Callithrix jacchus: one gene and its partner. The protein of the gene in region 2 interacts with the protein of the main gene of each other region in a pairwise test. Links are inferred from orthologs where the notes say so. Each region holds a gene or a part of one and is shown on either strand. Other genes may lie near its edges.

Region 1 (3,748 bases), on a different chromosome or scaffold from region 2:
CCTCAGCTTGAAGAGCTGAGTGCCATATTCCCAACAGCAGGGAGGAGTGTTAAAACCATACACCCTGGAGGCTGGGCGCGATGGCTCACACCTGTAATCCCAGCACTTTAGGAGGTTGACGCGAGTGGATCACTTGAGGTTAGGAGTTTGAGACCAGCCTAACCAACATGGTGAAACCCAGTTTCTACTAAAAATACAAAATTAGCCAGGCGTGGTGGCGTGCGCCTATAATCCCAGCTACTTGGGAGACTGAGGCAGGAGAATTGCTTGAACCTGGAGGCAGAGGTTACAGTGAGCCAAGATCTTGCCATTGCACGCTAGCCTGGGAAACAAGAGCGAAACTCCATCTCAAAAAAAAAAAAGAAAAGCATATGCCCTTGGGCTAAAGACACAGATCAGAGTCTTGAGTCCTACATCCCTGTCTCTGGGACCTCAGGCAAGCCGTGAGCCTCTTGAGCTTTGCAGCTCTGTTCTTTCCACAAGTGAGAGTTCCCTTGATAGAACTGTTGCGAATTAACAATTATAATAATTATTAATATAACGTTCAGCACCTGCCATGTGAGAAGCAGACACACAAATCTGTGGCTCACATGATGATGACGCTGATGGCTGCCACTGTTGCTGAGCTGTCTCTAAGGGTCTCTCCAGCTCTACAGGTCTAAGAGGGAGGGTGGGGAAACTTCTGCTTGTCCTCAGCCCTCGGCTCCCATCTCCCTTGTGTTGGTTCCCTCCTCCCTGGTTGGCGGGTACTGGACAGGTCTCCTGATCACACACAACAGCCAGTGCCTCCATCTGCAGCTGCTCATGGCTCCACTGCCTGCCGGGGAGCGGTACTTTCTCGCACTATAAAAAGCAGAGGCTGGGCAGCCTGTGAGGACGTCACATGCTCCCCTGGGGCCGTGAAGTGACCAGCAGTGGAGAGAACAGTTTCTCATGGCATTTCTCATGTTCAAAGCTCAGGATGAGAAAGCTCCCAGCATGTCGTGCTGCCTCCTTTCCTAGAAACTAGGTGGGGCAGCAGAGTCAGGAACACCTCACAGAGGGGCGGCTTCCTCCCTCCCTCCCAAGCAGGGAGTAGTTGGCCCAAAGGTGCCTGAAGCCGATGGAGGGTCCATAGAAGAGAATCTGGCTTTCTGGGGCTGGAAGAGGGTGACCCGGGCTAAGGGTGGGGACCACACCTGCACCCGCGGAGAAGCCTGGAGGGCTGAGTGGTGGGCAGTAGGTCGACAGGTGCGGTCCAGAAGCACCCAGGTGGCTCAGAGGCTCCAGCCCCAGGCCAGGGACCTCTCCCAGCGGCACGGGCACCAAGAGCTTCGCTTCCCAGGAGGGCCCTGGGGAAGCAACATTGTTTTTTCCCTCCCAAGCTGGGCCCCCTCCAGGACACCAAGGCTGTCAGACTCGGGGACCAAAGTCAGCCTTCCTATTCCATGAAGGACCCAGGTTGGCCACAGATGGGCCTGGCAGACCCGGCGGTCAGGTGGTCCCGGTGAGACTGGGGAGGGGTGAGGGCATCCCCGCCAGGTGCGGCCGTGGGCATTAGTACCACTCCTCTTCCACACCCTCAGAAACGCACCAGAGAAGAGTGAAGCAAGATAAACCCCCCACAAAAAGCTGGGGGGAAGGTGCGATGGCTCCCGACAGTATCCATGTGCAGAAGAGTCCGGCTCCTCCGCAGGCAGGGAGCCCCAGGACAGCGACTCCGCACAGAGGCGCCTATGCGGGTGGCTGAGCCAGGGCTGGGCGCCAGGGCTTCCCCCAAATCTGGGGTCCCTCTGCCCCTGCGCCTCCACCGCTCCCACCGGCCCTCCCGGCCCAGGTGTCTGCCCGCCCCGCCCTGGCCACCGGGCTGAAGCCACGAGGACAGGGGCGGGGTGGCGCCGGGTCCCTGCGGCTGGGCCACCTACCTCCGTCCCGCCGGCCGCTCCTCCCGCGCCGCCCTTAGAGCATCTCCCGGAGGCCGAGCCTCCTCCCCACCGGGTTCGGGGAGACGCGCAGACCCGCCGAAGGAGACAGAGCGGGGAGACCAGTCCTCGAGGCCGACGGTGCACAGAATGAGGGTGGGGGCGGTGCGAGCAGCCGCGGGTCCCCCCAGCACCTCTGGTCCGCCACCCAGGCTCCGAGGTCCCTGTGACCAGAAGCGGAAGCACGGTTTCTCGAAAGTAAAGGAAGAGACGCAGAAAGTGGGAAGACGCGCACGGAGCGAAGCCCAGCCAGATGTGAGCCGCGAGGAGCCGCCAACACTCCCAGCGCTTTCCGCCCAAACAGCAGCCGCGGAGGATTAACTGTGTGTGCCCCGCCGCCCCGAGGAACGCCGGCGGCCGCCTCCTCCCGCCCCTGGGGATCGCGCCAGGCTGGCAGTGGGGAGGGCCGCTTCCGTGCATCCGGAGGGCTGTGCAGAGGTGGAGGGGGTGCGATCCCGGGCGAGGATGCCCCGCGCAGGACGGGGGTGCCCACAGGGCAGAGCACCCCCAGTCACTTGGTAGCAGGGGGTGGGCTCCAAGGCCTGGGGATCCCCTGCAGCCAACCCCAAGGGGTCAGGTCTTCAGTGTCAGACCTGAGACACCCCGCACATCATCCGGGACTCAGAGATTTGGGGGAATCTGTGAGCACCCTACAAAAAAATGCCAAAGTGTGTGTGTGCGCCCGTGTGTGTATGTGTGTGTGTGCGTGTGCGTGTGTGCGAATGTGTGCGTGTGTCTGTGCGTGTGTGTGCGATATGTGTGCGTGAGCGCGCGCGTGTGTGTGCATGTGTGTGTGAGTGTGCACGCACACACATCTTTGGAAGACGATGGTCCACTGTGCTGTTTTGTTCAGGGTCTTGAGAGCTCTGTGATCTAATGGTTAGGAGTGGACCCACGGTGATGGAAGCATTCCTCCATCTCTATCAGGCCTCTCATTCCTTGATGTGAAGACCTGACATTTTCTCAATCATACACAAACATTTTTTCTGAACCATCCCCGTAGGCCGCCCTCCAATCCGGATCCCTAATCCGGGCTTCTCCAGAGCCGGCCCTGTTTGGGGCCCAGTCTCTATCCTCCGACTCTGCATCAGCCCAGCTCTCTCTGGAAAATTACCATATCACTAGCAGGGGAGGATCTGGCCAGAGATGGGAAGTCTGCTCTGATGATAGCAGCGTTCCCCACTTTCTTTTTGCTTCTTTTCAGCCCTGCTGCCCTGTTCTCTCTGATCTGCCCTTCGACTCGATGCTGTACCTGGGTTTTTTGGTTTTGTCATCACTCCTGTGAGGGCCTGTCTCTGGCTACATCTAAACAGGAAATATGAAAACAGGGATGCTGGTTGGGACATTCAGAGCGCTAGAGGCTTTACCTTTCCCTGCCTGGAATGTGCTCCCATCCGCTGCACCAACAACGGGACAGATGAAAAGAATCAGAGGAGAGGAAGAAGAGGGTGCATGCTCGATGCCAGCTGCCTTGCCCCAGGCGGGGTGAGGCCAGCACTCGGGTAGACATGAGGATGAATGGATGAGAACAGAAGGGGACGCCTCCGGGCAGGTGAGCCGCCCAACAGCCACTCCACAGAGGCCCTGGCTGCGTGTGCCAGCCCTTCCTGTGAGTACAGGGAGAAAGGCTGCCAGGCCTCTGGCACTCAGGGGGAACTCAGAGGACACGATGGCAACATGAAGTCAACACTACTTAACCAACTAGAGACAGGGCCTCTGCGAGGCTTAGGAGATCAGGGCTCGCCTGTGTTCTTGGCATACATGTCTGAGGCTTGGCAAAACCTACA
Region 2 (3,748 bases):
GTGACAACACAGGTACATACACACATGCACAGCGCAGGTCACAGTCTTTAAAAATATTACACGTGGCTGAGCAAAGTAGGCACCTGTGCGGGGTGTGGAGGACATATCGTAGCTCCAGAATTCCAGGAGCCAGCTCAGGGAGGCCCAGAACAAAGCATCAGGGCCTAAGCAGGGTGCGGAGGGCATCTGAATGGGGCAGGGGACACTGGTCATGATGGCAGTTGGTGATATTTGGGGGACCGAACAAATAAACAAATAATATATTAAGGATAATGGGAGCCAGCCTCTGATCAATGTTAATGACGGCAGTTACAAATTCAGAAAGGGAGAAAACTCTGTGGTGTTGGAAGTGTGAATTTATGGTTTTCAATACATATGGATTAATATAGAAATAAATAGATACATAAATAGAGGAGGAAGCTGGGAATCAGAATTAGACCTGTCTAGCTCTTTTCACCATTCTTTACTAAGGCCCTACACATAGGCCCTCTGCTGTGAAACCTCTGCCCCCTTCGCTGTCCCCTAGAACCCCAACTGGAACTCACATAGACTTAGAAGATTCCACCCCCATAGTCTCAGAGCATGCATCACACCACATGGCACTAGTTGCACACAACTAACTCATGAGGTTTTGGTTACATGGAGGGTAGGCCTCCTCTTATCTGTATTCCCTGCATCTCCCTTGGAACCAGGCACATGGCCATCACGATAGTTAGTATTAATATTTACTGTGCACTTATTATGCATCAGCAAAGACTTCACATGCATAATCTCATTTACAGCTGAAGACAACCCTATGAGGGACATATTACCATCATTCCCATTTCACATATTGGCAAGGTGAGGTTAGAGGGGTTAACCGAGGTACGCCAAGATGTAGAGCTAGTGAGAGGTAGAACCAAGAGTCAAGGCCAGACGGTCTAATTCCTCAGACTGTGCTCCTCACCCCTCAGCTCTGCCACCATGGACTAGGTGTAAGTAAATGGTCACTCAACAGATTCCTCCCAGGGACTTGTGTTTCTAAACACTCTCCCTCAATCCAAGTCCACACTTTATGCTGAGCTCGTTTGAAGCTCACCTCTTTAGGGGAGCTCCCCATCCTGGTCTGAACTGCTGCCTCAGTTCTCCTTGGGCACAGGGCTTGCATCGCACCCTGACATATGACCCAGTCAGTGTTGGAGCAGGGAACATAGTTTGTCGACATTTGTTGAACTGAATTCAATGCCCAGGAATGGAAGTAAACAGGGATACATGACAAAGTGGTATATTGTACAGGATACTGTGGTTATCTATTTCTGGATTTTCCAGAAGAGTTCAATTTCTAAAATTCCATCCTCTCATCAGACCATTTGTCAGAATACATGGCCAAGAATGTAGTCTGGAATTTTGTTTAAAGAGTAAGGTCGCCATTCTATAGAAGAGAGGCGGGAGTGGGCACAGGGTGTGCTGCCGGGCACCCCAGCCCGACACACCCGTGGGCAGGTCACAGCTCTCTGAACCTCTTTATCTGTAGGTAAAACTGCAGTGCAATACCTACTCCTACTGCGGAGTGAAATGAAGTCTGTGTGTGATGTGTTTTAAATACTGATGAAGAATAATGTCATGTAAATCCAGTTACTGCTAGTGGGATTCCTCACGGTTTCACTGACCTGTCTGGCAAGTCATTTTCATCTGTGAAAGTAAAGAAGCTTTTAATGAAGACCACTGCAGGAAAATAGGTATAAAGAGAGCAAATGTCCTGAGGTCTTTCTAGTGTTTTGAAAAAGACACCCCTGGATATTTTCCATCTTTTAGACTCTCTTCAATTTGATGCGTGTGTGTGTGTGTGTGTGTGTGTGTGTGTGTGAGAGAGAGAGAGAGAGAGAGAGAGAGAGAGAGAGAGAGAGAGAGAGAGAAAGAGAGAGAGAGAGACAGAGAGAGGGGAGAGTTGGAGGCCGAGTGGGCAGAGGTGGAGTTGTTTTAAAAAACTGCATGAGATTCTAGCTGGTGGAGGGACAAGGCTATCTTACCTTTGCTGTATGAGGTCTCCCAGCTGTGTGAGGTCTCAGGAGATAGTTCTTTTGAGAGCTGAGCTTTTCTGGCTTAGCAGTAGCTCAGAAAACTTTTCTTTCTCTTTCCAGTGTTCTGTGCCCCAGCTGTGTATAAAAACTGCTCCGCCTTTTTCCATGCAGGGGTTAACCAGGGCATCTCCTGCCCCTTCTGCAAGGCTTTGGGTAGAAGAGATCCATAAATCTGACAGCAGCTATGGGGAGATTCAAGGAAGAGCAGTCTCCCGCAGAGCAGCATGCATTACCATCAGTGACAAATCTGTCTGGTTTGGATGGGGCTGAGACACCCCTGAACTTCCTTCTGCTCTTGCCAAAAGTCAAGATCCTTTTGTTCACCTTTAGGGTTGCCAAGTCAGGCCTACCTCTCCCCTAGATGTTGTTTCCTGCGGGCAATGGGAAAATGATCTTGGAGCCAGAGAAGGGAAATCAACAAGGAAATAAACACAGGGTCACCACACCTTCAGGCCATCAGTAGGTCTGGAACATTATCATGCTGGGACCAACTCCTTAATAGGCAGGGGCTGCTGACTGGACAGGCCCTAGAATCCTGGGCATCTTTTATTTTTCAATAAGTAAAGGGGCATGCACCAAAATCAGTATCAGGCAAATAAGTAGTTCTGACTTGTTCTAATACCTTGCCAAAACTTTCAAAGATTTTCCATAGGCAGTATTGCTCATAACTGAACATTGCCTAATGTTTGTAGACAAAAAAAAAGGAATGGGCATGTTTGTGGCTGATACTATTTAAGACTTTTAACTCCAAAGATATAGAATTATTGTTTAAATAAGTATTTCTTCTGCTCATTCTTCAGCATCATCACCATCATCACCATCGTCAGCGGCTGCAACATCTTTGCTAACATTTATTAAGTGCTTACTGTCTACCAGATTCTATAGTAATCACCCGACCTGCATTATTTCATTTAATTCTCAACAGAATCCTATCATTATCACTCCCATTATACAGATAAAGAAACTGAGGATTAGAGAGACTAAGTCATTCCTGCAGAGTGACCCAGCTAATTAAAAATGTAAACATTGTGATTCCAGAAGTGGGCTTTTCTGAGCTTTGCTTTTCCCACCAGTTGACCTAAGCACTAATGTGGGCTGACAGCTCCAGTAAGGACCAAAGATTTTGCTTAAATAAGTGATTAGCTCTGGGTATCAGATTCTAAATAGAAACATAAATAATTAGTGAGTTAAGTAGTCTCCTTCCAGAGATGTGAGTCGAGTCCTTGGTGTTACCTTATGTATATGCATCATGCAAGAAGGACACAGAGAGTTCAGGTACTTGTGGCCCCGTAATCACAGGTGGTGCTACTGGCTGCAGTGCCTTCAGCTCTCCACTGTGACTCTGATTTACAAACAAGGAAGTGCTCTGCAAGTCCCTTGGCCTCTGTGTGCATTTCGGTCATGGCCTGATTGCTACTTTGTCCTTTTGACTTTCAGAGTCAAACTGCTGCAAGTTTCTTTTAATCAATAATCCAGGGAATGAAGGAGGCAAAATGACCAGCCTGGAAACTTCTGCCTGGTGAGATGAAGCCAGCACATGTATTTTTGGTCCTAAGGTCACACTTCTCACTCATATTTACTCTACCCCTAATCTTTACTTTCAATTTGGCTCTACTCCTAACCTTTCCTTTGAAAGAGAGCTAGCAGTTAGCTCTTTTGTGTCATGGCAGTTACCCAGGGCAGCTGGC

The links. The genes of interacting proteins can lie anywhere in the genome.
Region 1: the proteins of LNX1 (region 2) and C1QTNF1 interact in a two-hybrid assay, tested with the Homo sapiens proteins (2 studies listed by BioGRID and IntAct). The two-hybrid records come from large-scale screens. The link is inferred for Callithrix jacchus from reciprocal best matches to the Homo sapiens genes LNX1 and C1QTNF1.

Annotation. Positions count from the first base shown.
Region 1 is NC_133506.1:134,764,550-134,768,297, reverse strand, and holds the start of C1QTNF1 (complement C1q tumor necrosis factor-related protein 1), read right to left. Parts: upstream 2,219-3,748; 5' UTR 1,905-2,218; intron 1-1,904.
Region 2 is NC_133504.1:143,048,329-143,052,076, reverse strand, and holds the start of LNX1 (E3 ubiquitin-protein ligase LNX), read right to left. Parts: upstream 2,314-3,748; 5' UTR 2,010-2,313; intron 1-2,009.